Linked DNA regions of Mytilus edulis. Each later gene encodes a partner of the first gene's protein in a complex. Links are inferred from orthologs where the notes say so. Each region holds a gene or a part of one and is shown in the gene's direction. Other genes may lie near its edges. The genes, in order: eukaryotic translation initiation factor 3 subunit J-A-like and eukaryotic translation initiation factor 3 subunit L-like.

Region 1 (16,572 bases):
ACATGTTACAAAATAGTGAGTCACAACCAACCAATAATACACCCCTGTCTACATGTAACATGGTACAAAACAAAAAGTCACAACCAATCAATAATACACCCCTGCCTACATGTTACAAAACAGTAAGTCTCAACCAACCAATAATGCAACACTGTCTACATGTAACATGGTACAAAACAGTGAGTCACAACCAATCAATAATACACCCCTGTCTACATGTTACAAAATAGTGAGTCACAACCAACCACCAATACACCACTGTCTACATGTTACAAAACAGTAAGTCTCAACCAACCAATAATGCAACACTGTCTACATGTAACATGGTACAAAACAGTGAGTCACAACCAATCAATAATACACTACTGTCTACATGTAACATGATACATAACAGTAAGTCACAACCAACCAACAATACACCACTGTCTACATGTAACATGGTACAAAACAGTGAGTCACAACCAATCAATAATACACTACTGTCTACATGTAACATGATACATAACAGTAAGTCACAACCAACCAACAATACACCACTGTCTACATGTAACATGGTACAAAACAGTGAGTCACAACCAATCAATAATACACTACTGTCTACATGTAACATGATACATAACAGTAAGTCACAACCAACCAACAATACACCACTGTCTACATGTAACATGGTACAAAACAGTGAGTCACAACCAATCAATAATACACTACTGTCTACATGTAACATGATACATAACAGTAAGTCACAACCAACCAACAATACACCACTGTCTACATGTAACATGGTACAAAACAGTGAGTCACAACCAATCAATAATACACTACTGTCTACATGTAACATGATACATAACAGTAAGTCACAACCAACCAACAATACACCACTGTCTACATGTAACATGGTACAAAACAGTGAGTCACAACCAATCAATAATACACTACTGTCTACATGTAACATGATACATAACAGTAAGTCACAACCAACCAACAATACACCACTGTCTACATGTAACATGATACATAACAGTAAGTCACAACCAATCAATAATACACTACTGTCTACATGTAACATGATCCAAAACAGTAAGTCACAACTTACTTAATTGAAAGTGTCTAGCAAATTCTTCCTGTCAGCAGCAATACTAGAATTGTTAATTGTATAGTTTTTGGCAGATGCAATCTTTAAATTTCTATTAGATACATACATAGTGTAAAAATCTTGTGTTGACCTGAAATTTCTTACATCTACATCATTTGACCTCTTGACCTCTGGTGGATGGTTGTCTTATTGACAATCATACAACATCTCCTTATTTTTATGTGCATAACATTACTGGTAATCATGTCCTTATTATGAAAATATTAATACACTTAAGTTTGAATTAATTTTGGCTGATATGTAATAAGGGAGATAAGTGCTGTTTTCATCAATGATCATCATTTGTATTACTTGCTATATAACTGATTTCTCATAGCATGGTGCAAAATAGTAAACAACAACTACCATGGATTACACAAAGAGAATGGTGCAAAACAGTAAAAAAAAAACAATAATATACTTCTACATTGTAAATACAAGTAACATGATGTATAGCTGCGAAAACGTAGCTCTATTGTCCTTTTTTTTTTTTTTGCCATAGAGCTATGGTCCGCAAATATCAAAAATCATCAAAAGGACCTTAAGAGCTACGTTTTCGCAGCTACATGATGTAAAGAAAGAAAATAGATTAACAATATTTTTTTCAAAGATTTTAATAAAAAATGTAAATAACTACTTTAATAATAACAATGTAAAATCTGTATAAAGATAATAAAGCAGTGTTTTGCAGTGAATAAATATTATGTGTATTTAACACACAAGTTGCATGTGTAATGTTTCAAACTTTAAAAAAATGGAAGCTGAATTTTGACACTTTTCTGCATGAAACATTCCTGAGAGATAATGTTTAAAGTTTGAAAAAAACAACAGCACAATAAAAGGATCAGTTCTTTCAAAAATGTTGACTATTAAGGAAAAGACTTTAACCGGATATAATTTGTAAGATTATGATCTGTATAAAAATTCATCAAATCAGATTTTAATATAAAATCTCAGAATTGCACTTAAAAGATTTGACAGGGGAAATAATAGCATAGTAAACATAAAAAATTAATAAATAAAAAGCATGTGCATGAAATAAATGTATATACCTGACAAATATAATTGTCAAGTACTCAAAGATATATAGGTGCTCAATATACAACTACTTTAAAACAAGAAAGCTCTATAATGAGTTTAAAATATCACAGATTTGGCAAGACATCTATCACAGAATATAATATCACATTTAAACAACCTAAATGTCATGAACGAATTTAATTTTTAGGTATATGTTTTTCAGCCAGTTGAAGATTTATATTTAAAGATCATATTGTTATTTGTTATGTTATAAATGACATAAAATCAAACATTTTAGGATCTTCTGCAAAGAAACAGATTCAACAAGTAAACGAAGTATAATTATGGTCTTTTCAATTGTTTATATTATACTAAATAATATAGTTCAACTTATGGGTTGATAATCATTCTGTCTGGAAAAAATACAGATACTTAGAATTGTATAAACACAGAACCAAAAAAATAACAAGATTAGAGTTAACATTTGAAATAAAATAATAACATTAGATCAGATCCTTACATTCATGAACAATATAAAGATTACATAGACAATTTTCACCGACATTTTCTCAATTTTCTATAAACGATACAATACTTCAAGAGAAATAGTCAATATTTTATCTATAAACGATATAATACGTCAAGAGAAATAGTTAATATTTTATCAGCTTATGTTCACCTAGTTACCACTCAGGACCAATAGTTTTGTATTGTTCTGCAGACATCACAGACAAATCACTTTGTAGAAATCATTTTTTTCTATTGTGTTTCCCTAAGGAATAAATGATTTTAGTTCTTAAAATCATTATTTTTTTATAAGGATAACATTGAAAATTGTTACACTCCTTACTTTCTGTCTTCCCTCTCATTAAAAAGGAATTAATACTATTAGCAAGGTTTTGGTTTTAAACTTATATTATTTCCATAAATTTGTTCATTTTTGAGATTCAGCAGTTGCCTTCTACCTGTTACATAGGACAAAAAACAGTTTGCAATTAATCTTAATATAAATCAATCATAGACAGGTTTAAATCCACTTTTATTTCCGCCAAAGTTCACTGGTGTATCGTTTCCCATTGGTCTATTGGATTGTGGTATTGACCCTTCACCTTGGGTCAAGGCTAAATATTTAGAATCATCATTTTCATCTCCTGTCAGAGCTATATTTCTCAGATCTGGCATTTCAGCAAATGGTATATAGTCAGTTCCTGTAAATATATATAATCATAATTAATAGAAAGTGATAAAAAAGAACACTTTAGGCTCAGAATGATAAAAAATATGGTGTTTTTCATATTTACAGAATGGAATTCCATTCTATTAAAAAATAAATGGTATTTATTTTCTGTAAACTTAGTTATTTCATTGACTTTTTGTTCGTGACTAAGATTTTAGCAGACTGTTACAATGCATTTTTTCAGTTAGTATTAAACTAAAAAAAATCAGGTTAAACTTAAAAATATTGCAAAAACTCAACCTATTATGGTATATTTCAATACTATTATATGATATCGTTAATGTATTTATTGTGTGTCTTGCATGCAAATGTATAGTTATGTTATTATAAATGTATAATTATTATCCTAGTGTAGCAACATACATGTGCCTAAGTTGTAATAAATTGTTGTGTCTTGTCTTGAAATTTTTCATCTCGTATAAGAGGAGATCAAAGTTTGACACATTCAGTACAATTTATATTTGCATTATTTTTTCTAAATTCAAACATGGCTTAAATGAATTTCAACTGAAAATTAGTTGGTTTGCAGTTAGTCTCAAAATAGAATACTGACCAACAGGAAGCCCATCTTGTCTTCTGATATCTTCTGTTTCAAAGAAAGTGTCATGTCTCTCCCAATGGTTATCACAAGCAGCACACAGAAAGTTAGAATCAAAATGGCCACAAGAACATCCTGAAAAAGTAGTGTGCTTAAAATCTTATAAATATGACTATACTCATACTGCACAGTATAGTTGTTAAGAGGATATCATACTACACTAGAAAACAGACTTACCAGTATAACAATTGTATGGTTCGATAATTGCCACAATACAAAAAAATAGAAGTTCAGATGTATGGATGTACCATGAAAGATTTATATATAAAAAATGGAAGATGTGGTATGATTGCGAATGAGACAACTCTCCACTAGATAACTAGTGAAACAGAAGTTTGAATCATGAAAGATTTACCCATCTTCTCAACACATGCAGAGTTGTTCTTATCTTTATTAAGGTACATAAGAAAACCTAAATTACTTTTAGAATGTTAAATCCTCAGTCAGTATTGGAACAAACCTCTAGATCTACATCTTCTCATCCCTGTTGGTTCATGTTCTTCATGTGTGTGTTTACAACGACATTTAGCTCTCCATGTACTAGGATCAAAATCTCTTCTACGTTGATGCCAGAATTCGCCTACATCCTCAGGACGTGAAGGAATCCAAGCAAAACCTTTACACTTACACCCCCCTTGTCGACATGGTACCTGTACACTCTTTCCTAAAACATTAGAAGTAAAATAAAGAGTAAGAAGGTATGGTATACACGTAGGTCGCTGATGGTACAAACACAGGTCACTGTAATAATGTTTTATGCTAATGTAAATATGAACAGTAACAATGAAGTGCAAAAAGATCAAGTTCACTTTCGGCAAAATATGGCCTTGAATTTAAAGATTATAACTTTGTATGTTACAATGTGATGTAAGAAAAAAAAACCCATTCTTTCATTTTCAGGTTTTCTTAATTAAATAAATTTCAATATTTGATTATTTGCCATGCTCCAGGAAAATTTCATTTGTATATTCTTCAAATTAACAAATATAAGAAATTATTCACGAATAATGATACAGTTGTAGATATTTTGTACATAGATAATACTTTAGCTCAAGTGTTATATAATGCAAAATTAAAAAATAACATGAATTTGATCCTTCTGGTAACTTGAGTTTTCTATTTCAACTCTAATTGTAAATACATATTATACATCATACCTGTGTAATTTGCATGTCCATTTAACAGATGACCACAGAAACATTTGGAATAATCATTTACCCTTTGACAATCATGTTTAAACTCTGGACATCTCCATCCAATATAGATTCCTGAATTAAATCAAATTCAAAATTTTAAGGATTAAATGAATAAAACAAATTTTTTTTATTTTTTTTTATTTTTTATTTTTTTATAAAGTTTTTGCAGATCAAGCCACTACCTGCCTGCTTGAATGAAATTACCTATTTAAGTGACATTACTTAAAAGAACTATAATTCTAAATCAGATTCACCACAATGACCAAAAAAACCAAGAAATAATCCATAAAATAAAATAAGGGAGATAATTCTGATTTTACCTGTTTTCTGAGCAGTTAAGGCAGCTTCAACTTCTGGATCAAATAACTTCTTTAGTCTCGGAGCAAAATCTTGATTCATGGCTCTGGCAAATGATACAACATCATAGTTCTTGGCTGGTTCTATTTTTCTCATGGTATATCCTAGAAACAATCAAGAGTGATTGGTATTTAATAATAAATGTGAATTTGATGTAAATATGGTTTGTCATAAGCAAGTTTTCCCCAGAATTAATTAAGTCAATTAGGGGAGATAATTTCATAGTCACAGCTATATTCATAAAAGCCTCAATAATGTTTTTTTTAATAATTCTTTGTTACTAGTGGCATCTATTTCTTGAAATTTTTGGGTTGGTTTAATAGACTAACAAAGTATCAAAACAGAAACTTTGGTATGGATAACGTTGATAAGAAAGCTAGCTCAAATCTTAACAAATGATAAGTGTAAGCATATTTGATTTTAGATTTATTCAATTTAAATACATATACATTAGTTGGCATGAAAATATTATAAAAGTTGAATCGTCACTAAGACCAAAACGAGGACCCGGAAACAAGTTTCCAGCTTATATCATTCCTTTTCACTTATAACTGATTACACAAATATACCTACAAAATACACAGAAGTTTCAAAGCTATTTAATACTCTCTGACATCAAAGTTGGAGTATTATTATGATAGTTATATTTTCTTTGTCATTTCTCATATAAACATGGAGTCCAAATACTACTAAGCAATCAACAGATACTAAAAAGCAATGTTTATATCATCTAAATTTGTATTTCTTACCAGATATTGTTTATTTACAAGATACAATGTAAAATGATTTAAACAAACAAATTTTACCTTCAGGAACTAACATTCCATCTTGTTTTTTCATGGCAATAGGTTGCATGCCTCGTGGTAATACTGCTTTTCCTCTTCCTGAAGGAGCTCCCCTTCCTGCAGGAGAACCTCTACCTGAAGGAGCTCCCCTTCCTGCTGGAGAAGCTCTACCTGCACCTATTGTCTGTAATATAAGGACATCATGTCTTAAAAAGGGAGATAATATTAATATACATTTTAACACTGTCTAGTGTCTGGTATGAATAGTTTCAAAGTATTATAATTTCAAGTTTGTGCTTATGGTTTTTTTTTCTCAAATAATAATGCTCCTTAACATCAGTTAAACAATTTTAAGTATTGCTTTCCATAATTTAAGAATTTAAGGATTATTTATTCAAATTAATAAATTAATAATTCCTTTGATTTGTCCCAGATGCTCGATCTACTGCATCAAAACAATCTGCTTCCAAGTTCAATTGATCCATTAAATTCCATTTAAAAACATCAGGGCCAACAAATATTATTAAACTAGTAATTGGAAGTCATTAAATATCAGATAAAGACTTGCTGTGAAGTACTGAGTTTAACTTCATATGCATTACCTGTTTTGGCTTAGTACCAGTTGTTTTTGGGACTGGTTGTTTACTCATACTATACTTCTATTAATTACTGTAAAATAATACAACCTGAAAACAAATTTGACATATCAGATTAAATGTATGTGAATTACTCTAAACTAATACAACCTGAAAACAGATTTGACATATATCAGATTAAATGTATGTGAATTTCTGTAAACTAATACAACCTGAAAACAAATTTAAAATATCAGATTATATAAAACTGTGGACTGGTATTAAATTCCACTGAGTAATGGTGTACAGAAAAAATGAAAATTTATATGTATCTTTTTTGGTAGAAATGTGTCTGAAAGTGAAACGGTGCGGGTTTCTGATGGTATGAGGATAGCAGAATGGATTGCTACGATTTGGTGTACTATTTTGTAGAACATTATCAATCTTGTGCATAATCTTCTTTCCTGTAGTGTGGGCCAGTTTAGTGAGTTTATCATGTCTGTAGTACTACTGATGTTATGGTACCTGTTACAGACATATCTGGCAGCTCGTCTTTGGACCATCTCAATTTTAGAGGTTTGTTTAACTACTGTGTGAGGGTCCCATACTGAACATGAATATTCAAGCTTAGAACGAACCAGTGCCAGATATACCTGGGTTTTGATGTTCTGGCATGATGTTTTTAAATTTCTTTTTAAGATTTGTTACCATTAGCTATAATGTTGTCTGTATGTTTTGACCATTTTAAGTTTGCTTGTAGTGTAATGCCTCAATATTTACTTTAAAGTGTATAAGATTAATTCCCTGTTAGATATACTATAGTCAGGGTTACAAGTAACTAGTCCCTTACTATAAATTTAAAGTATGGCCAAAACGACTAAGGAGGAACCGGATCTATGGCCGAAACGTCTTGAGTCCATCCATTAAAATTTAATGAACCTGGACCATTTTTTTGTTATTGTTTTTCTGTAGATTCATTAACCAAATATACTGACAAGGGTAGCAATTATATAAACTTTATCGTAAAAGTGAAATGAAAATATGTCATACTCTTATTGATTCTGTATATGTTTTTAAACAGGAATAAATATTAAGCGACTTAGTCACTTCTTCAGTTTGTCATCCATTTGTAAACAAAGCAGTCACGCACCTTGGATATTCTGGTTTCCTGTCAGCGTGAAGTAATTTATCCTTTCAGAATTCTATTTTCGTGAAACCAGTTTAAAATAATTAAATAAATATTTTTCAAAATAATGTATTGAAATAATTTTAAGATTATACGAAAAATATCAAATAATATTGTAACTCATAAGAATTATTTTATTACCTCCAAAGAAATTGCATTCCCGCGCAAATAATTTCTATTTTTAGTTTCTAGAACTTCAAGATGTCTGACGCATGGGGTAAACATGTGGAGAACATATTTATGACTTACTAAGTTCTTAATTACAATTTTAAATGAATTTTATGATTTATTTATTTCATATTTTGTAGATGCCGATGATTTTGAGCCAGAAGTACCTGTGAAGACAACGGATCAGTGGGAAGGGGAGGATGAAGATGATGTCAAGGTTTATACGATTTTTTTTACCAAATTACATGGTTTTCTTCATTCTTTGTTTAGAAGACAATTAAACGTAGTCGTGATTTGGAATCTTAATTTAACATATTAAATCTATTGCTCATCATTACTGGATCCTTCCTGGATCAATCCTTTACACGTGACAGCTGTTTCATTTTGCCTATACTCGCTGTCAGCTGAAATTCGTAGCGGTTATCGGTTAAAATAATCTTAACTATCAATCGTGTTCACTTGAGATATAGTTTTTCACATTCCATTCATAAATCGCGAAAAGAAAAACCACCTACCTTTGAAGTGATCACACTGTAATAATCCTGGGATATTTTCTTAAGGGATTCTGATATATGATTAACCAGCTGTTCCTAATTAAATTTCAAATGTGACATATGAAATATTTAGAATGACAAATGGTTTCCTTTTGGGTGTTGGTCAGAAAAAAAATGACAATTAAAATGTTCTTATCTGGTAATTGTATAAGTTATAATGCGCTCAATACAAATTAAAACTTTTGTTTACAGGATAATTGGGAGGATGACGATGATGAAGAAAAGAAGACAGAAGAAAAAGATCAGGGTATGTTGATTTGTCCTATTAATAAAAATACACACTGTAGCCAATTTGAACTGCACTATGGTCATTTAAAAAAACGGGATAATGCATGCCTATGAGAAAATGAACTTAAAATTATTAAATTAAAGGATAAGGCCACACCAATTTAATCTTGTTCGACGGACCCGCCCGCTCCTATTTTTTTCAAAACAGATTTTTATTATTTTTATTATATTCTTGCTTCCTGCATCCGGAAATGTAATCATGTCCATTTCCCATACCGTTTTTTTTTTGTAAATATTATAAAAAGATCTCAACATTTGTTTTTAAAATCATAGTATAACCTTTATATAACGATTTTAAACCTATAAGCACCTCACGACACTAAATATCTGTGAGAATATTTGTTTCAAGCGGGAGTGCTCCGATATAAATATATAACAGTGGAAACACCTGTACAGAACAAAACATTGGTTTCTTTCCCCCAGACTTATATTCCCTATCAAAAAATGTTCGTAGTTAAAATAAAGTACAAAGAACTTCTGAAGGATTTGCCTTCAACTGCAATTATAATGTATGCTGACGGTCATACCTGCTGCAGGTTTGTGCACTGGTCCTGATTGATTCAGGGACCTGTCGTTCAGCAGTTATCGTTTGTTGGTGTGGTTCATTGGTATTTTCCCGTTTGGAAATATAAATTAGATCGTTGGTTTTCCTGTTCGAATTGTGTACAATACTAAGTTGTGGTCCCTTATACCTTGCTGTTTGGTCTGGATCAAATCTCTGTGTAAAAGGCCGTACTTTGACCTATGTTTGTTATTATCAGGTAATCCCTCAGACAAGGACCTTGAAGGGGTCATTTAACCATGTTTACTGTTGTAGAAAAGAAAACAGAAATACTAAAGATTTTTATAGTGCATCTATACAAAACTGTATAGTGCTACTATACAAAACCTTTGAAACTTTAGAATTTTTTTACTCAAAAAGAGGAGAAATACATTATATTTTAAACGACTTTTAAAAGAGAGGTCCACTTATTTTAAATAATATAAAACTGTTAAATTTTTGGACATGTTTTGACCATTTAATACCATATAGATATTATAGTTCTTTGGGAAAATATTACCCCTTTTGTACTCAAAGTGTTTTTACAAAATAAATATATTATAACTTATATTGACCCCTCATAAAAGGGATATTCATAACATTAAGGGGTTGTTCTGAACCTGATTATGACTTGGATGGAGAATTGTCTCATTGTCAGTCACACATACATAGACCAGATTTAATTATTCAATTATTTCTTGTTGAACAGGGAAAAAATACTTCATAAATTAAAGATATGTCAAGGTACAAGTGATAAATCAAGTTTTAATATAGTCAAAACCTACTATTTTATGTTTACAAAAAAAAATTATAATCGCTCGCCTTTACTTTTTAAGCTTCGCCTCAAAAATTTGCAAATTAAATATTTTTTTATTAAAATTTTCAAATTGCTCGCTCGCCCCAATTTTTGGAGTTCAAAAATCTGTAGAACAAGAAATTAAATTGGTGTGGCCTAACAGAAAAATATGGGATAGTACAAACCACCAATGCCTGACTGAAGAAAAAAATAGACAAATCAACACATGATCCAGTTCTTGTTACAAAATAGAACAAGTCTTATATGTGCATGAACCACAACCATCACATTGTTTTCCATCAAAAACCTTATCTAGAGATAGTGAACTAGATTGAATCTACAATAAGCACAGAAATGTGAAACCCCTGTAAAAAGCTAGGAAATTAGAATTTTTCTGATATAATACATCATTTCTTTCAGAAGGGAAGCCTTTTCAGAGAAAGAAAAAGAAATTAGCTGACAGAATAGCAGAAAAACAAGCTGCCAAACTTGCTGCAGAAGAAGCTGTAATTTTAACTTATTTCTCTTTATTTAATGGCCATTTATATATTGTTTGGCCAAATTGTAACAGTAAATTACAGTCTGGTTGATACTCTAAACAGTGTCTTCCAAGTTGCTTGATCAATAATTAGAACTTGTCACACATTTCAGAACTTTCTGATAGGTACCTACTACCTGTTAGCCCATACTTTAAATTTTAATATTGTTACTAACCTGTGTTTAGTTATAAAATCTCTGTAAGATACCTATTTCCTTTCTTCTGATAGTTTGAAATGCAATACATGGTAAGCATAGCACAATAACAGGTTTATTCTTATAACTTTTGCAATAGTAAAGACACATTTTCACTAAACATGACTAGAACAAAATATTGTATTGGCCTGCCAATTATTGCATCATATGGTCATTTGAAAAACAATTTCTTGTAAAAACTTTATATAGAAAGCTAGATATTGTGAAAAATGTATACCAAGATGTGGTTATGTTTTTTTTAGTTGATTAATGACCATTCAGCTGAAATAATTTTATACACCTTTTCTAAGTGTCTTGCTCAACACTATCAAAAAGGGTAGGCAGGCAAACCATTAACTGAAGAAATAGGATTTTTTTTTGGTATAAATCTAATAGTGTAAAGTTATAGATGAAAAATTTAAAATATTTTTAAGAAACTTCCGATTTCAGTTTCCTCAAACTTTCAAGTTTAAAATCAGTGTTAAATAATGCTTTGTAGTGATGATTTTATGGGTACATGTTAATTTCAGGAACAAGAAAAAAATAGGAAATTAACACCAGAAGAGGAAATTGCAGATAAATTGAAAAAGCAGCGATTACAAGAAGAATCAGATTTACAGTTAGCAAAAGAAGCTTTTGGTAATTATTTTAGAGGCTAGAAGGCTTCACGTCTAACAGATTATACGTTTTTTCTCAAATAAGTTGTTGTAGGTTAGAGTGTCTGACTTTGACAATTTAATCATTTTTGCTTTGTACTCAACAGGAGGGAACATCTTATTTGATAGAAAACAAATAACATTCAAGGCAATGTATGTAAAGAAAAGATATCCACTTTTCATCTTGTTGATCTCCCCGGAAAAAATATATGGCAGGAGCACATTGTCATGGCTTTGATATCTTTACCTCTTTAGGTTCTGAATCAAATGTTTACCAGATATTAACTTTCGCATGTCTTACTCAAACGGGAATGGTTGGACGATATTGGAAAGAGGAAGTTGTCTATAAATGGATTGAGATTAAGTTTGCTGTTAATACTAAAAATGAAAAGAAAGATTTCAGATGATTAATTGAGTTGCTATTGTTTGATTAACATGAAAGTTTTATACAAAAGCAAAGGGAAAGGAAGAACCTATTTATTTTCAGATCAGTAGGTCAAATGTCAATGTCATGGATGCTAAAATAGACAACATACAAGCTTACTGGTTATGTAATCAAATGTAAAAGTTTAAAAAATAAGACAATTCATGGTATGAAATTTCATCATAATCTTGATTTTTGGATAAAATCTGTACTTTGTCCCCCATAATTGGTTGGTTAGTGGAGGTCAATTGAAACCATTCTCCAATTTTAATACTTGCTTCAAAAAGGTGATATATGATGCATATGTTGGAAAATCCATCTGTGGTTTCCAGGTCATAATGAAAGTACCAGTTTGCTTATCTTAAAATTTTTAATATTGCTGTGGAAGATATAATACACATCAATTTAATAATTTGATTTTTTCAGTTTTGGTATTGACTGAAAATTTATTTTTATGTCAGTGTTGGAGGGCCGAGTGGTAATAGTTTTTCATCTATTGTGCTCATTTGCCTGTCAATACAGACTTTTTGTTGGGAGCTTGCTCTTGTCAAGGTGTGTTGACTTCAGGCTTATTTGACTAGGGTGACTAGTGTTCCTGCCAAAGACTATGGTTCTTGTTACCCTGGCTTCCTCCGTCAATATAAATTCATGGCCATCAAGTAGCTTGTGCTGAAAATTACGTTGATCAACAATCAGTTATGCAAGTTAAGGTATCTGTGGTCACTAGATTTATTAATAAAATTGAGAATGGAAATGGGGAATGTGTCAAAGAGACAACAACCCGACCAAATAAAAAACAACAGCAGAGGGTCACCAACAGGTCTTCAATGTAGCGAGAAATTCCCGCACCCGGAGGCGTCCTTCAGCTGGCCCCTAAACAAATATATACTAGTCCAGTGATAATGAACGCCATACTAATTTCCAAATTGTACACAAGAAACTAAAATTGAAATAATACAAGACTAACATAGGCCAGAGGCTCCTGACTTGGGACAGGCGCAAAAATGCGGCGGGGTTAAACATGTTTGTGAGATCTCAACCCTCCCCCTATACCTCTAACCAATGTAGTAAAGTAAACTCATAACAATATGCACATTAAAATTCAGTTCAAGAGAAATCCGAGTCTGATGTCAGAAGATGTAACCAAAGAAAATAAACAAAATGACAATAATACATAAATAACAACAGACTACTAGCACTTAACTGACATGCCAGCTCGAGACTTCAACTAAACTGACTGAAAGATTATGATTTCATCATATGAACATCAGGCACAATCCTTCCCGTTAGGGGTTTAGTATCATACCATCATAACATATATGAGAAGAACATAACCCGTGTCATGCCAACAACTGTTTTTAGAATAAATGTGTTTAGTTCCGATGCAAAGACCTTATCAGTGACTCAATATTAACGCCAAAATATGCAATCTTTAATGACTTGACAACAGTATCGTAATTATATCCCTTCTTAATAAGTCTATTCAAAGGTTTTGTAAGTTTCTGAGGTGAATACTGACACCTTTGTGCTTTATAAAGAATATTACCATAAAAAATTGGATGTGAAATACCTGAATGATTAGAAGTCTGCATGTTGAGCTATATTTACGAATGATGTCTTTATACCGATGGTAAAATTTAGTAAATGTTTTGACTAGTTTGTGATATCGAAAACCCTGGTGTAATAATTTTTCAGTAATACATAAATTTCTCTCGTTAAAATGGAAAACATTGTTACATACACGAGCGAATCGTACAAGTTGAGATATATAAACACCGTAAGATGGTGACAAGGGAACGTCACCATCTAAAAACGGATAATTAACGATAGGAAATGAAAAATCATCCCTTTTATCATAAATTTTAGTATTCAGCTTTCCATTAGTGATATAGATATCAAGATCGAGAAAAGGGCAGTGGTCATTGTTAGTTCAAACTATTCAAATTTCTAAATTCCATTTTTAATTGTGTGTATATTTTGCATTTTAGGTATTAATAAAGGTTCAGGTATAGATGGAATGTTCCCAGAAGATGAAGAAAGTTTTGACAAGTTTGGTGAAGCTATAAAAAATAAAATTACAACTTTTGAAGTAAGAATATGATATTTATAACAGTTGTTTCAAACTTATTTTACATTATTTTAAAAGTATGTTTACTCATACTGTGTACAATGGTTATGAAAAATGTTGTTTCATAATGATGCCATTTAAAGTTGATATAATTAAAAGCCAAGTTGCAAAATCAATCAGTTATTTAAAAGTATTATTTAAATTTTAAGACGCCAGTCTGCATGTATGTAGGGCTCAAATCTATGGTAGGTTCCAAATATATGGCAGATTCCTAATCTATGGCAAATATGACATGTCATCCCAAATCTATGGCAGATTTTTTACAATCCTAAATCTATGGCAAGTTTTGTAATTTCCTAATCTATGTCGGATTTTTGCTGTTTCCAAATCTATGGTAAATTTTGTGCAAATGGAAAACAATGCAGTACATATACGACCAATGACTTGTCTTTAACAAATGGAAATATATAACAACGGAAGAATGTGTATAAACATTTGTGAAAATAAACATTCTACAATAGTCCACCAAATCATAACATAAACATAAAACTTTGTTAATTAAGGATGATTCAAAAACCTTAATACAAACTTCAAGATCATGAAATGATGTGTCCCTTAAAAATAAGCATTTTCTTATCTGTGCATTGTGCATGTGTAACCGATTCATCATACAAACTAGTAAATCCCTTAGCAAAAGAAAAAGACACCAAGTACTGATCCGAGAGTACTCGCAGTTACTAACAGCTAGTTCAAAGCCACTAACAAAAAACAACTATGCAGCTAAGACTAAATAGTTATTTCATTCTTATGACATCTTTTTATTTGATGATGATGATTTAAATCTAATTTGTATCCGGTAATTTGATCTGTCACTTTATAAACTTTGCCGGCAGTAGACGATGAAATATTTTCGATAACTCCAGTTTCCTAAAATATATTGTACTGAAAACAGCAGTGCCTTTATTCATCGCGGGATTCGGCCTGTACATCACATTTTGTCCCTCTTCCGGATTAAAGGTCATATCTTCCTTTAAACCATCCGCAAATTGTTGTCAAGGGAAATACCTTCATCTGAAATGGTGTTCTAATTTATTGGTTCCGCCACCGTTAGCGGCGGCAACGATGTGATATGGCGTTGTTCAATTAAGATGTTATATGTAACAGTTACTCTTTCCCTCGGAAATTATGCAAGTTAAAGATCTGCCATAGATTTGGAGAAAACAAAAATCAGCCATAGATTTGAGTAGTTTGGCGTTTGTAACGTCACATTTGCCATAGATTTGGATCCCGCAATAGATTTGAGTCCTACAGTGTGAGCCAAGGCTCTGTGTTAAAGGCCGTACATTGACCTATAATGGTTTACTTTTATAAATTGTGATTTGGATTGAGAGTTGTCTCATTGGCACTCGCACCACAACTTCCTATATCTGTATATATATTGAAAACCATAATTGCATTAAAATTAACTTATTTAGATAGGCCTTAAGGGTTTCAATTGGATTTCATATTTTTCATGTTAGGCGTTTTATAGCGACTATACAATATGTGTTTTTCTCATTGTTGAAGGCAGAACAGTTGCCTATAATAAATTGCTTACATCAACTTTGTGGATAGTTGTCTCACTGGCAATCATACCACCTCACCTTATTTTGATACTAAGTTTACATTATTTGTCAGCAGACACAATCAGTAGTCTAAAACACATATGTTGCATCATCACAAAACCCATACATATCACAAAATGGATGGCTTTCTGTAGCTCATTTTTGAGGGGAATTTAAATTTTTCTGCTCCTGTATTTTCTGTTTACATTCCTTAAAATACAACAAGAAAACGATTTCAAAAGAATCTCTGACAGTATTTTAATCTGAAAAAGTATATATCATGTGTTTGGTTTCTTGAGTAATATGCTTTAAGTGATATCTTTTTATTTTTCAGAAATCGAAACATTACTGTTCATTTTTAGAAAAACTCTTCACAGATTTAGTAGTTAGTTGTAAGTATTTATAAATTTCTGTAGTCATTGCTTAGTTAGGGACGACATCAAAAGTTCAATGTGGGATAAAAAACTTAATTCACATAGTTTTTTCACTTACCCCACCCCCCACCCCCTCTTAACTTAATTTGGGAAAAATTGATGAACCTATATGGATATATGTAAAATCGATTTTGGATTAACAAAACTTGCAGCAATGTTGACCCCCCACCCCCAAACTATTTGATTTAAGTTTTTTATTCTGCATCGATCTTTTGATGTCG
Region 2 (16,599 bases), on another chromosome or scaffold:
ATCTCTTCTCTGACCTTATCTCTAAGTGCGTATGGTAGTGGGTACGGACGTTGGTAAATCGGTTCATCTGTTTTTGTAACTACTCTATGTTCTATAATATTTGTTACCTTAGGTACGTCACTAAAGATGTCTTCATATTCTGATAGTAATTCTTTAAGCTGCTGTTTTTCGACAGTTGTCAATTCTGGTGAGATCGTAACGTCATCTACATTTTCTTTGCTTTTCAACACTGGAGTTATATCTGTAGTCATCTCACTATCATCTGTGCCTTCATCTGTGTTAAGACCTGAAATTACATTTAAGCACGCAGCAATATCTGTTGTGACATTATTATCAAGATCATTATCTACCCGCTCATGCCATAACTTCAACATATTTACATGAAATACTTTGTCTTTTCCTCTAACCTTGACCTTATAGTCAACAGGACTAACTTTATCAGTCACTATAAATGGTCCTTTCCAACTCGCTAACAGCTTTGATGTATGTGTAGGCAATAATATAAGCACCTTTTGACCAACTTCAATCTTTCTGTCTCTAGCTTTTCTATCATAATAAAACTTCTGTCTTTGTTTCGCTTTTGTTTCATTTTCAATGGCGTACTCAGCCATTGTTCTCAACTTTTCTCTAGTGTCTAATAAATAACTCAACACAGAGTTTTGACATGTACTAGGCTCTTCCCACTCTTCTTTAAGTACTGCTAGAGGTCCTCTAATGTGCCTGCCATATAACAATTCAAACGGTGAGAAACCAGTACTCTCATTTGGTACCTCCCGATATGCAAATAATAAGTAAGGGATATATGCATCCCATGTTTTTGGTGTCTGTCGTGCATATGCCTTCAACATTTTCTTCAGTACACCGTTAAACTTTTCACAGAGTCCATTACACATAGCATGATAAGGACTAGTGCGTAACTTACTTATCTTTAATAGTCTACATACCTCAACCATCAGCTCTGACATAAAGTTACTGCCTTGGTCTGTCAACAGCTCCCTGGGTATGCCAACTCTAGAAAATAAACTTATAAGAGCATTAGCGACTGTAGAAGCTTCTTGATCTTTTAAAGGAATTGCTTCTGGATATTTAGTGGAATAATCGACGCAAACAAGTACATAACGGTTTTTGTCATCAGTCATAGGCAAAGGGCCAACAAAATCAATAGCAATGCGCTGAAATGGCTCATCCATAGGTGGTATGCTAATCAATGGAGCACGTGGTACTCTACCCTTCGATGTACCTATCTGACAATCTGGACAAGACCTACAGTATTCGGCAATATCATTAAATATACCTGGCCAGAAAAAGTGCTGCATGATTCTGTCTCTTGTTTTCTTATTCCCAAGGTGACCTGCCAACGGAATATCATGTCCCAACGAAAGAACTGTTCCTCTCAACTTGCTTGGTAATACAATTTGCTGAATAACTTCACCACTTGGCTTAGTATACACTCTATATAGTAAATCTGAATTATATATAAAATAAGATGCTGGGTTATCATGCACATCACTTACATAAGATTTTACCTTATCCAAAGTCTCATCTGTCTTCTGTAACTCAATCAACTGCTTCCTATCACAAATCTTAAAATCATGGCATACGTCTGAAAAATCTATAGAATGAGATATAGGTATATCGCTACTACGCTGAACATTCGTCTGATCAATCATAATATCTGCTTCATCCTGCTTCTTCTTTCGAGATCGAGTCTCAACTGCATGACATGGGACTGAGTCACCTGAAACAAAAATATCTTCTCCACTAGTCACTGATAAACCATCGACACTATGTGGTACTGATGTGTTCACATAGTTTCCAACAATCAGATCTGCAAACGGTGTATCTAAGATCAATGCAATAATATCACCTGAAATATAAGGAGTAGAAATATTAATACATACTTCTGGACACTGCTTCACTGAACCATCTGCTAAACATATGTCTCTAGTCTGACCTGTAAGACAATCTGGGTTAGTAAACCTACTATGAACAAATACAGTAGAACAACCTGTATCTCTCAAAACTGAGATTTTATCACTATCGATCTTACCTTCTACTATATCAAGTCCATGTACCTGTACCTTGTCGCCATTACATGAAACACCAGGCAACTTAACAGTCACACCACTAATATAATCATCTACTCTATACTCCTGTCTACTCTGTATGCACAAACCAAACTTACCTGGCTTAAAATTATCCTCCTTTGACCGGTTCGTCCTTGTAGGACAGTGCGTAGCTATATGACCAATGTTCTTACAAATAAAACAAGTCCTAGTGTCAGGTTGTCTTCCTTTTGATTGGTTATATCTACCTTGTTGTTTAGATTGGTCGGTGTCAATTCTCCCAACTGATTTAGAACTTACCTGTTCATCTTTATGTGCTTGCTGAAAAGCCTCAGCTTTGTCTACCAACTCATCAATTGTTTTCGGTTTCTGTTCCTTGATCCAAAGTTTGAGCTCTTTATTACAACTTACCATTAACTGTTCTCTAGTAACTAAATCAACAAATCTATCAAAATCAGTGCCTATCAACTCACGCTCCAACCAATGTCTAAGAAAACCTACTAGTCTGACTGAAAATTCCTTAAATGACTCATCCGAAGACTGGCGTTCACTTCTGAACTTCTCCCTGTATGCCTCGGCAGTAAGCTCGTATCTACATAAAATAGCAGATTTAATTTTATCATAATTTTTACTGTCCTCTTCAGACAATCTAGAAAATGCCTCTAAAGCTTTCCCACAAAGTAAAGGGACTAATCTAAGGGCCCACTCAGACTTGGGTATTTTATGCAAAACCACCAATTTCTCAAAGGACCTTAAAAATACATCTGGGTCTTCACCTTCCTTAAATTTAGGAAGTTTCGACTTCAAACTTGAATGTGTCTGTGGTGGTGCAACACCTTGAGCCATTTCTTTCTCTCTAAGCTCTAACTCTTTTAAACGTACCTCTTTTTCCATCTCTATCTTTCTCATCTCTCTCTCTTCCATTCTAGCTTCTCTCTCAGTAGACTGCATGTTTTTCAACATTTCTAAACATGTCTCCAAAGTTTCACCCTTCTCTAACATCTCCGGAACCCAAGCGGGTAATACACTTCCTGCCATACTGTACAATACAAATAATAATAAAATGATAATGTAAACAAATAATAAAACATAAAAGTTCAAACAAAATATATAACAAAAAAAAAATCCCTGTTGTCTATCTGACAATATTTTCTAATATAACAATTGGCACAGTGACAATCCCACCGCTGCCACCATTGTAACGAAGTAAGTTCTTTGGGAATTGTCAGGTGGCCAATGTCATACAAAACCAAATTAAAATATAAATTTAATTAACAAAACAAAATAAAGTAAATTCAACAAAAAATGTAATATGAAATGAGAACACAAATGTAACTAAATAAACACACACGGAACAAAACAAAATGTCATGAAATAAACATAAATCAAACAAATTTCGGCCTGCACACTTTCCGCACACTGCCCGGATACGTTCCTCGTTGTACGTACTGTAGATGTAAATGATGAACTGGGTTGTTCCCCTTTAAATTTCTCTTTATAATTAAACGGACGAATTAACTAATTTTCACATATATCTGGTTGCTTCTAAATTGATTGAAGAGAACACTAAATTTGTATGAATAACTATAATGCTGAATAACAAACTATAACTGCTTTAAACTGCATAAATACTGCACGGACTTCTCGATTTCTCAACTAAAAATGTATATAATTTTACGGACTTTTTGCTCCAAATAAATAGAAACGGACTATAAATTTATCACCGCCTCCATGCGTTGTAACTCCAACCAATATATCACCGAGTTGTTACCATTTTTAACCCCGACACCATTAATTCATCGACACCATTATCTCCGACCAGTCGACAATTAGCAACGTGCCAACGCACACTAAAACCGGGCCTAAAAACCCCTGCAAAATAATAATTGAACCCAAAAATTACTTACGTTATCTATAAATATGAATAATATGGCAATTATCCGTACATTTGGACCGCGAGCAAGAAATATCATCTCGACAGCAAATTGACCTCAATGTACCATAAAATATAAGTAAAATAACTTACCTGAGTGTTGTTTCAATTAGCCTTTGGACATCCATGTCCTGTCCTGACAATTATAATGTCCAAATTGCTATCTAAACCACAAACCCAACTGCACAAACGTGTGCTACTCTCAATGATCATGTGCCGACTGATTTGAGACTCACCTGTTAAATTTCAATAGGTGCGTAATCACGTGATAAACAAGGTCTGCTTGACTAGATTACCGGTGTTAGTGAAAATAAGAGATAACATAAAATATAGTCCTAGGTGTAAAATAAATCATATAAATAATTAACTGAAGTTTGTTACATTGATATTCACCCCATATGTACCAAGTGTAATTTAAGTTTTATTGATATTAAAGAAATTTCTTGGTATTCCTAAACGAAAGATTTTATACACACAAACGATCAAGTATACGTAATGACAAAGCTATTTTCATGTACCTGTGTAGGATATGACGCAGCTTTTTTCAAAAGTGATGAGTTTCTATAAATTGTTCAATATTTCACAGTGGTATCTTACTTTGACTTTGTTTAAACCTGTTTATTTACTTTTGACCTCAATTATTTATCCCTTATAAATTATATTAACTATGAATTTGCATTCACGTATCGAAGATCAAATTTTATATTCGTTCATTGTGTGTTAATTTGCGTTTTTTGATTGAGTTAAGCCTTCCAATTGATATTTTATAGTGTGTTTTTCTGTGTTGTGATGTTATACTATTGTTTCAGAAAAGGGAGAAGGTTTAGTACCATTAAAACGTTTAATCCCGCTGCAAATGTTTGCACCTGTCCTAAGTCATGAATCTGATGTACAGTAGTTGTCGTTTGTTTATGTAGTTCATACGTGTTTCTCGTTTTTATATAGATTATACCGTTGGTTTTCCCGTTTGAATGGTTTTCAGCGGCATTACACATTTTGGGGGCCCTTTATAGCTTGCTGTTCGGGGTGAGCCAAGGCTCCGTGTTGAAGACCGTACCTTGACCTATAATGGTTTACTTTTATAAATTGTTATTTGGATGGAGTGTTGTCTCATTGGCACTTATACCACATCTTCCTATATCTAGCTATGGATTCGTGTCTAGTCAGGCAGAAATTCCCGAATTTCTGAGCATGTTTCACTCAATCTTCTTGTTGAAATGACAGTTTGAAAAGGTCTCTAGAAATACAATGTATCCTGGAAACTACTGAATTAACTTTCCTTAACCAAGTAGAAAATCTACTTTAAATATAATCTTTTATCCTGCATTGACAGGTCAAAGGTCAATAACAACACAATGATCATGGAAATGCCAGACTAGAAATGTTATATAAAAAAACAGCAGCGCCTACATACGGATTATCATCCAGCGCTTGCATTTTGCCAACATGATTTCCTTGATAGAGGGTTGCCATTTACCAGGTTTAATCCACCGTTGTCTACATAAGAAAATGCCTGTACTAAGTCAGGAATTTGCCAGTTGTTATCCATTCGTTTGATCAGTTTGAGCTTTTGATATTGCCATTTGATTAGGGACTTTCTTTTTGAATTTTGGGATTTTACTTTTTACTAGGAAGCAATAAACCAAGATTTTAAAGTTGTGAAGTTTTAATTATCCCTTTAAAAAAATTACGGACGCAATTACAAGTTGATTGGCTGTTTTTTTTTGTATATTTGTTTCACAGATGATTATTGACCTGTTAAATTTGTCGTTACCACAATCCCTTTCTCTTGTCATCGAATACGACATACCAAATTAGATATATATAACTATATATACTAACATGAATAACAGTGCCAAATGTGGAGAATAATCAGTTAAACCTTCCAGAACAACTGAGATCACCTCTAGTTTTGTTTAATGGGGTTCGTGTTGCTCTTGCTTTATGTTTAAGTGTTGTCCTGACTGTATATATATCCTTATTGATGTCTATAAGTAGCTTTTGGTTGCCTTTAGATAATCAGGAAGTATGGTGAGAATCCAGTTGACGTGTGACGTATACAATCAGAAGCATGGACAAGACCTTCAACATGTGACTTCCAACCTTTCGTCTGAACATTTTCTAAGGTACCTAACATGCCAACTTTCCAAGTAGTATATATGTTATCTACTAATTATAAGTATACGTCGCTGTCTTCCGAACATCAAAAAGTGTGGTGAAAATCCAGTTGACGGATGACGTGTACAGTTGTTAGCATGGACAAAACCTTCATCATGTGACTTCCAATCTTTCTTCTGAATGTTTTCTGTACACTACCAAGCTTTACGAGTATTTATTTTGGTAACTTTCAGTGATGTCCATTTGATGAGACGGTGTTGTTCGTGACTTCGTCATACTAGTGATGTTGCATATTTCCTTGGTAATTTTAGAACCAAAGTTTGCACCTTGAAGTGGTCTCATTAAATATTATATATTTATATATACAGTTTAATTGCAAGGTATTCAATACACACTAACTCAAGGGGTTATGTCGTCTCGATGTTGATTAGAAGCGCTCTGTGACTTGTAGCCTGCTACCGGCGAACACATCTGTCGCAGTGCAAGATCTAGTTTTCAATATTTAGATCCATGCTGTCACTGTTTTTGTAGTTACATTTTTGGTGTGTATTGGAATGCTGCTGTTGTTTCTTTACTGAAACAATATTCACGATGCAGCTATATTTAAGTCAGATGGTATTGCCGCTCTATCAGTTGACTATAGAAATCCAAACTGGATGATATGGTAGTTCTTTGATAACTATTAGCATGTCGAAATGTCTTATTGCAATGTTTATTTGTGTATTTCTTTGTCCTGAATGTTCTTGCATTTATTTGTACTGTAGTCCTGTCATATAATGCTGTCATTGTAATGTTATATTTAGCATTGCCATAAAAGCGCGAGGTTTGGCTACCCGCAAAACCAGGTTCAACCCACCATTTTTTCTTAAAATGTCCTGTACCAGCTCAGGAAAATGGCCATTTTTATACTATAGTTCGTTTCTGTGTGTGTTAATTTTAGTGATGTGTTTCTGTTGTGTCGTAGTTCTCTTATATTTGATGTGATTCCCTCAGTTTTAGTTTGCAACCCGGATTTGTTTTTTTCTCAATCGATTTATGGATTTTGAACAGCGGTATACTACTGTTGCCTTTATTCAAGGTCCATGTATCTCTGTATAACAACATCTTTGTTAGGTGTTAGATACACAACTATAAGCGACTGACATGGCTATCGTCCCGCGGAAATCTACTAGCTCCAATACAAAAGAGACTTAACTTGCGGACCGCGAAATAATAACAACCAATCAGATACAACGATTCAAGTAAATGTATAGTGGATATTCATAGAACAATAGAGTGAACACCCGAAATAAAGGTTTACAAGTAAAAATTTAAACTCATAGATTCAATATTCAAAATATGAATGCATTCATGTAAGTATATATAAAAATAAATGATTATTACAATATATCAAATTATAAACATAAAAATAACTCTGCTACATATATCCATATATATATATGGATATAGATAAATTGCCTTGATAGGCAGCATAAACATGGACATAAAAAGCTTTGATTTGATTCGGCAAAGCAAAAAAACCACACATAATCTTTGATGAACACTTTACGGAAATAAAAACTTATACACAAGATATGAAATAAGGCAACGTAGCACCAAGGAATTGTATATTTAAATATACAATTCCTTGGTAGCATGTAATATATAAAACAGCTAAATAATTCCATGCAGCAAAAAAAAATCACATTTCTTGTAATGATGATTAGATGTTGAAACCATTTTAGTCCGTATCAAGGATTTGTATAGTAAGAAATATGGTAAAGAAGTTAAAAAAGAAATCTATGAAAATATATTTTTTAGAACGCTGTTCTGGGGGATCAAAAAGTGCTGATTTTTGGGAAAACTGTCAAACCTTTCTTTTCAAAAAAATGCCAATCCCAAGGGCAAAAGACTATTTTATTTGAAGAAAACAAAATTATAAATAATTCAAAAGATGTAATACTATCAGATATTTTTAATAAATTTGTTGCCACTGTTGCTGAGAAGATAGAAAATGATGTTATATATGATCCATTAAACAATCATAGCATAAATGCCATACATGAACAAAATCACTTGAAAACAGATGCAAATTTTAAATTTCAAAAGGTGACATCAGAAAAAGTGGAAAAAATCATAAATAAAGTTAATGTCAAAAAAGCAACTGGAGCAGATGAGATATCAGCAAAAATAGTTAAAGCAAGTAAATCTGTCGTTGCACCTCAGCTGACCAGTCTTATAAATTTGACTGTGGACACGGGCATATTTTCAGACAAACTTAAAGAAACCCAAGTTACACCCTTACATAAAAAGAGCGACCCACTACTGAAATCAAATTACAGACCAGTCAGTGTGTTACCTATTTTTTCAAAATTTTACGAAAAGATATTTGAAATACAGTTATACGATTTCTTTGATTCCATTTTTAATCCTTATCTATGTGCTTTCCGTAGAGGACATGGATGTCAGACTACGTTGCTCAGATTACTGGAAGACTGGCGTAAAGCCTTAGACAAAAACTTATATAAAGCTGCAGTTCTTATGGATTTATCAAAAGCTTTTGACTGCTTACCTCATGACATTTTACTAGATAAATTACTAGCATATAGTGTTTCTCCACATTCAGTATCTTTATCAAAATCATATCTTTCTTTTAGAAAACAGCAAATTAAAGTAAACGGTGTTCTGAGTAGCTGGGCTGACATCCAAAAAGGTGTACCCTAAGGTTCTATATTGGGCCCCTTTTATTTAATATCTTCAAAAATGATATATACTTTTTTGTTAAACATAGTACATTATATAATTATGCGGACGACAATACTCTGTCTTTTAGTAGTCCGGATTATGACCATCTCATATCCATATTAGAATCTGAACTCAAGTGCTTATTGATTGGTTTAAAGAAAATAAGATGCAGGCAAATCCTGATAAATTTCAAGTTATTGCTGTAGGGAAAAGAACCTTTGCAAAAAATCCATCTATACAAATTCAGCAAAATCTTTTTTATCATGTGAAGAAACAGTAAAGTTACTTGGAATTGATATTGATTACCAACTAAAATTTGATGCACATATAGTAACTTGTGTAGAAAGGCATCACAACAGCTGAATGTTCTCAAGAGAATTGGATCATTTTTAAACAGATTAAATAAACTTACATTTTTTCATACTTTTATTTTGAGTAATTTTAATTTTTGCCCTTTGGCTTGGCATTTTTGTACAGAGAAAAATTCTAAAAAAGTTGAAAAAATATAAAAGAGAGCATTAAGATTTGTATATGACGACTAATTATCATCCTCTGAAACTCTTCTTGAGAACGCAAAGGTTCCAACCCTACAAGTAAGACGCATCAGGACAATGGCACGTGAGACTTATAAAATTTTAAATAATTTGGCTCCTGTATGTTTACAAAATTTACTCCAAATTAAACACACTAAATATTCTTTTAGATACAATGATATTTGGAAATACCACAGGTAAGAACTACCTCATATGGAAAAAAAATCTTTCAGTTTTGCTGCTGCTTCTTTATGGAATAGCTTACCAGAACATTTCAGGACTGTTAACAACTTCTCACATTTTAAGAGTCTTGTTCAGTCCTGGAGTGGAACAGAATGTTTTTGCTCTGCCTGTAGATAATTTGTGTTACAATATTTATGCTTTCTATGCTGCATTAACAGCTTGCATTGCAACTGAAATGTTGTTTTTTACATTTTAAAATTTGAAAGATTTGAAATTTTTACTTTATAAATCATAATTTTTTTTTTAAATAATTTTTAAACTGCAAATTTAAAAAAAAAATAGTGCTTCATATATATGTTTTGGTATTTTGCAACATACATGTACATTTGTATATGCTATTTGCTTAGAGTTAATTTTTTGTGCTGCTTTTTATTATTTATTGCATGCTGCATGCCTTGTTTTATTTGTTATTGCATATGTTTTTTATATTCGGTGAAAAGCTCATTAGAGCTTATGTTTGTATTGTTTGTCAATATGCCGAATCCAAATAAAGTTTTACTTACTTACTTACTTCTTACTACACAAATCCTTGACAAATCATTGTCCGTATAAATAAGATATAGGGGGGATAGGACCTTTATCGGGACTCCGGGATCGGGTGTTTTTAAGCTCGGGATTTCGGGATTGACCCTTTCGGGATCCGGGAATCCTTTTTTTCGGATTTCGGGATGTCGGGATTTGCTTTATTTAAATTCGGGACCTCGGGATTTCGTTTTTTCAAGTCCGGGATTTCGGGATCAAGACCCCTCCTATCCCCCCTCAGATATGTATTAGTCCCAGATTTCATGGAATGAAAATTTTCTCCACTACTGTAACTTTAAATATTTGATTTTAAACTGAGTATTATATTTTCTTATACATTACTAGAAGTTTGTGTGTAGGAATTTAACCTAACATTATGTTCGACTAATAGTATTAAAAGTACGAGTTGGAAAAGATACGAGTTGTCCCCCTACTCCGATGTCCGACTTTGTTTTCTTTTTCTTTTCGTTCTTCTAGGGCAGACAACTCTATCGGAGATTTTTTCCAACATGTGGAGTGACGAACCACCAGCATCTTTTGCTCCTCCTGAAGTAAATATGAATGTTTTTAATATGAACTTTTGTATATAGAATCTACACAAGTCGTTTGTATATGTTATATGTTTTTCAATGGCATTCCTGATTCGATCAATACATGATAATCCATCATATTGTTGAACTCATTGCCAGACCAGTTGACAGCCCGGCTTCTCTATAAATCTATAAATAGACTCGATCTGTTGACCAGAAGATAATCCATTATTTGTTCCAGCTTAAACTAGTGATTTCCATTTATTGGTTTTTAGAGTATTTTATTATTTTTATTCATCCCAAACATGAGAAATTGACATTGTATATCCTCACAAAGGATTACAGACACTTGTCTCCGAAAAAAAATTACCTACAGTACATTTATATACATTTGTACATGTACTTTATATAACACAAGGTACCCAAATCATTTTTGAGAAATGAAACTTGATCAAGAACTTTCATTTTATTTTGCTTCTGTGGTTGTCCATCCCCCTTAAACTTGATATATGTATATCGTAAATCTACATTAATTACCTTCAAAATGCTGCCTAACACACCAATATCTGATGTCATAATCATTCATAGCTAGCTTTCCAAGTTGGGCTAACAGTAAATTCTATCATCCTATCACTGAAAAAGTGCACTAATAAGGTTCATCTGGACCATTTTGCTGAAATGGCTGTGTTTTAAAATCAAAATTTCTTCTACAATTACAAACGTCCATAGACTACCTCTATACACATAAGACTAATAAAAACCAAACTGAAGTTCAAATTGAATACCCACACGATAGTGCCATGTGCTGATTTTAATTTCACATTATGATACATAATATCATGTCGACAAAATATAGTCAGTAATTTATAAATACTACTGAAATTAAAACATTAAATATAACATCAAATAAATTCACCTAAGCAAGATAAAAAAAAATAACTGGGAAACACGTCTAATCGAGTCGGCCCTGTCGTACTGAATGGCTATATCCCATGAAGCGCAGCAATACAAATAACGGTCTATGGGCAGACAACTAGAAGAAATTAAAATCTAATTCAGTTCCTTCAAATACATGTAGTTGAAATTACATTTACTCTCAAGTACAGACTAAATGACTAAGAAAAGTTTTAAGGCATTGTAAGTTTGATTAAAATGGATTTTATGCTTTAGAAAATTTTAAAGATAACTATTTTTTGCAATGCACTTTTTTTCGTCCCTGCAGAAGATGATAAAATTAATAATAAACACCTGAGTTTCATTTGGTATGGTCCACTCAGGTTCACAGTTTATATCGCCAATTATTGTCAAGTACTGTATCTTTCCCCCCTCTATTGCCCATGGCAATCAATACAGTTCACTTCAATTATTACTTGTGAGGGAAGTTCTTAAACCTCTTTCTGAACTTTGTTAACAGTCATGACAGTGGCACCTTCTGGAGAAATGAAAAGAGTGCAGTGCAAAATCCAGTTAACTTAACTGTTTTTAATTTTCTAAAAAATGAAACACAAATGTACATCTGAATTTTATTTATCTAGAGTATATTAGGCCTTCAAAAAAATCCAGATACTCAGATATGTCGGCACCCAAAATAAATTTTAAGGTGAAAAGGCAGCCATTTTAGCCAAAGGGTCCACATGAATCTTGCTGTCTTGTAAAGTAAAGTAATCTTTATTTAATGTTGGGTTGCATATATACATAATAACAAGGAACATAAGATAAGCTCTTTTAAGAGCTCTTTAACCAACTGATATTAAACAAAACATTCATGTCTATACAATGCATAATTTAATTTAAAACTGATTATTTATTGGAGTGATTACTCAAAAAATTTCTTTTTATTTCAGTATTATCCAGCATATCCTCAACCAGGTGCCACTGATTATGATGCACACACAGGTATGTTACTATGTTAAACATGTTAAATAGGATTTCTACATTAAGTGTCCCCCATGTGTGATCATTTAATAATTAAACTATATTTAAAAGATTCTTAAACTTTGGTGACTGATATCACTATGGTAAATAAAATTGTACTCATGTCTTGAAGATCAGTCAAAATAAAGAATTTTATATATTTATTGCACTAACATTGATGAACATTTGTCCTAGCAGTAAGTAATGTTGGATGAGCTTGAAAGTGTTCTATGATTTACTGTGAGGTACACTATTCCTCTATGTTAGTGCAATTTTTTTTACCAAATTTTTTTCTAATTAAGGTAAATGATTTGACAGAACAATGTTATATTTTTTATAAAGGTGATCCACGCCAAGATTTGGAATATGAAAGACAGTATGCCCAACAGACGTCCTCGTATATAGTACCAGATGTCATCAAGAATTTCCTTATGGTATTCCAGAAGGCTATAAATGACCAGAATCTATATGAAATTCAAAATGCATATGAAAATGGGTATGTCTCTTACATGTCTTACTGCATATAAACCATGCAGGTGTTAAGCCAAATTCTAGCTTCTTTCTCAACATGTTCAATTTCAATTCTATTTTTAAAAAGATGTAATTTATCAGTTCAGGTGATGAAATGAAATTAATTCATCTTAAACAAATGTAAATATAAGGTAAATATTGATTTGGTACTTTGCAATTGTTTAAGTAGATGGACTTTTATCACCATTATGTACACCAATTATCAAAGCTATCCTGCAGTTTATCGCTTAATTTGCCAAGTTAATACTGTACTTATATGAGGGATGTAAAGGGGGGGTATTTGCACGGAAGAAAGAACAATTTAAAATTTCTTGCACATTGATCTTTTTACCAATTTCACGAAACACAGTGAATAAAGAACTTTTTTCACGGCTGCACATGAAATAAAAATGGCAAAACATGTTGCACGAAAATAACCCTTAACCACCCTCTTATGTCTAGGAACAGTTCATAAGGCCAAACAGCTATGTGCTTATTCCTGCCCAAAGCTTATTTTGAGTGCTAACCATCATTAAAGTTTTACACAAAAGAATCTTCTTAATATACAACTGATTTGATTTATGTACAATTTAGATTCAACAAGCTGACAGACAGATTCTTCAAGACAACTCCTTGGCCAGAATCAGAAATAATTGCTCCCATAGTGCAAAATGGTAAAGATTTGTAGAAATAAACTGTATGATGTTGTTTTTAGTATGCTTGGTAAATCATGTATGCTTATCCAGTGCAATTAAAGATGTTATGATTCATGAATGTCAATAACAAAACGTTTTTTTTAAATACATTAGACAGTGTTGGTGGATTCATTGGCAAACAGAAGTTTATATTTTTCATTCCTTTGTTGTTAAACTCTTATGCAGAATAAGAACCTTGTTAGAAATAACATATCTTTGAGCTTGATACATCACATTGAAAAATATGTGTGAATGTTTAAAGAACTCCTTATTTACATTTCAAACGTAACAATTGTATATAAAAAAAAAATTAACAACCAAGAAAACATACAATTTAAAATGTTAGTCTACAGCAGTATAAAATTCTTGTCAAAATCGTACAAAGGAGTAGGTCCAGTGAGACCCCTTTTTGGCCCCAAAATATAGCAGTTTTACAAAATTGTTAAAATGTAAACTTTTAGTTATTTATTGGACAATAGAATACTTCTGCTACATAAATATGGGCTGTTTTTTGAAAATACAATGCACATATATCGGGCACTAGCACCATTAAGTCATGCTAAGTTACTGAAATCTTCACAATTCTAGTATTTTAGTTAAATTTTAGATGGTTTTCGTGTAAAACGAAAGTGGCGGCATTCGTGTTCATCCTTAATATTGAAATATAAGTTTTATTTGATGATAATACATAACATATATAAAGGTTGAGGATGAACACAGATGCGGCCACTTTCATTTTTGACAAAAAAACATCTGAAAAGTGACATTTTTCGGCATATTTGGTAGCTTTTTCATATTTAAGCTTGAATCAGATCGTTTTCAATGACTAAATCAGTTAAAATCTTTCACCTAAACTAATTGATTCAAATGAAATAGACACTTAAGTGTTTTAAAAGTGGTGAAAATCTTTCGTCAGATGAAACTGAGATTTGAGGCCAAATTCGGTCCTTTCATTTACAGTGAACAAGCACTACAGAATATACCATAAAATTGAGAATGGAAATGGGGAATGTGTCAAAGAGACAACAACCCGACCAAATAAAAAACAACAGCAAAGGGTCACCAACAGGTCTCCAATGTAGCGAGAAATTCCCGCACCCGGAGGCGTCCTTCAGCTGGCCCCTAAACAAATATATACTAGTCCAGTGATAATGAACGCCATACTAATTTCCAAATTGTACACAAGAAACTAAAATTAAAATAATACAAGACTAACAAAGGCCAGAGGCTCCTGACTTGGGACAGGCGCAAAAATGCGGCGGGGTTAAACATGTTTGTGAGATCTCAACCCTCCCCCTATACCTCTAACCAATGTAGTAAAGTAAACGCATAACAATACGCACATTAAAATTCAGTTCAAGAGAAATCCGAGTCTGATGTCAGAAGATGTAACCAAAGAAAATAAACAAAATGACAATAATACATAAATAACAACAGACTACTAGCAGTTAACTGACATGCCAGCTCCAGACTTCAATTAAACTGACTGAAAGATTATGATTTCATCATATGAACATCAGGCACAATCCTTCCCGTTAGGGGTTTAGTATCATACCATCATAACATATATGAGAAGAACATAACCCGTGTCATGCCAACAACTGTTTTTAAAAAAATAATGTGTTTAGTTCCGATGCAAAGACCTTATCAGTGACTCAATATTAACGCCAAAATATGCAATCTTTAATGACTTGACAACAGTATCGTAATTATATCCCTTCTTAATAAATCTATTCAAAGGTTTTGTAAGTTTCTGAGGTGAATACTGACACCTTTGTGCTTTATAAAGAATATTACCATAAAAAATTGGATGTGAAATACCTGAACGTATTAGAAGTCTGCATGTTGAGCTATATTTACGAATGATGTCTTTATACCGATGATAAAATTTAGTAAATGTTTTGACTAGTTTGTGATATCGAAAACCCTGGTGTAATAATTTTTCAGTAATACATAAATTTCTCTCGTTAAAATCTAAAACATTGTTATATACACGAGCGAATCGTACAAGTTGAGATATATAAACACCGTAAGATGGTGACAAGGGAACGTCACCATCTAAAAACAGATAATTAACGATAGGAAATGAAAAATCATCCCTTTTATCATAAATTTTAGTATTCAGCTTTCCATTAGTGATATAGATATCAAGATCGAGAAAAGGGCAGTGGTCATTGTTAGTATTAGCTTTATTTAAAGTAAGTTCAACAGGATAAATTTCATTAATATACATACTGAAGTCGTCATTATTGAGAGCCAAAATATCATCCAAATATCTGAAAGTATTATTAAATTTGTTTATCAGATGTTGTTTCGATGGGTCTTTGCTTATTTTTGTCATAAATTGTAACTCATAACAATACAAAAACAGGTCCGCAATAAGTGGTGCACAGTTAGTCCCCATTGGAATTCCGATAATCTGACGATATACGGAATCCCCAAAGCGAACAAAAATGTTATCTAGTAAAAATTCAAGGGCATATATAGTATCAAAGCATGTCCAATTAACATAGTTTTTTTGTTTATTGCTACTAAAAAATGACCTAAAAGAGTTTGAACATATATATTCACATTCTGATTTTTTGAATGCCCATTTAATTAGGTGTGTGAATTGTTTCTTAATGAGAATGTGAGGCAATGTGGTATACAGGGTAGAAAAATCAAAACTTTGAACAGATTCAAAATCACCAATATAAGCATGCAATTTATCAAGTACTTCCAACGAGTTCTTGACACTCCAAAAGTAATTTATTCCACTATTTTCAAAGGCCTTATTTGAACAATTTATTATCAGGTTTTTAATTGTACCAA

What was found.
Region 2: eukaryotic translation initiation factor 3 subunit J-A-like (region 1) and eukaryotic translation initiation factor 3 subunit L-like share a complex: the UniProt entries of both Drosophila melanogaster proteins name them as parts of the eukaryotic translation initiation factor 3 (eIF-3) complex. The link is inferred for Mytilus edulis from reciprocal best matches to the Drosophila melanogaster genes eIF3j and eIF3l.

The regions. Positions count from the first base shown.
Region 1 is NC_092347.1:85,257,900-85,274,471, forward strand, and holds the start of eukaryotic translation initiation factor 3 subunit J-A-like, read left to right. Parts: upstream 1-8,228; 5' UTR 8,229-8,287; coding exon 8,288-8,303; intron 8,304-8,394; coding exon 8,395-8,471; intron 8,472-9,000; coding exon 9,001-9,055; intron 9,056-10,853; coding exon 10,854-10,939; intron 10,940-11,695; coding exon 11,696-11,804; intron 11,805-14,233; coding exon 14,234-14,334; intron 14,335-16,251; coding exon 16,252-16,309; intron 16,310-16,572. Other genes in the region: protein FAM221B-like, read right to left, coding at 3,164-3,360, 3,943-4,062, 4,448-4,651, 5,145-5,255, 5,504-5,644, 6,347-6,509, 6,928-6,975. UniProt on the Drosophila melanogaster protein: Component of the eukaryotic translation initiation factor 3 (eIF-3) complex, which is involved in protein synthesis of a specialized repertoire of mRNAs and, together with other initiation factors, stimulates binding of mRNA and methionyl-tRNAi to the 40S ribosome.
Region 2 is NC_092352.1:17,624,100-17,640,698, reverse strand, and holds the start of eukaryotic translation initiation factor 3 subunit L-like, read left to right. Parts: upstream 1-10,587; 5' UTR 10,588-10,648; coding exon 10,649-10,690; intron 10,691-12,513; coding exon 12,514-12,565; intron 12,566-12,925; coding exon 12,926-13,079; intron 13,080-13,687; coding exon 13,688-13,767; intron 13,768-16,599. Other genes in the region: uncharacterized protein, read right to left, coding at 1-3,104. UniProt on the Drosophila melanogaster protein: Component of the eukaryotic translation initiation factor 3 (eIF-3) complex, which is involved in protein synthesis of a specialized repertoire of mRNAs and, together with other initiation factors, stimulates binding of mRNA and methionyl-tRNAi to the 40S ribosome.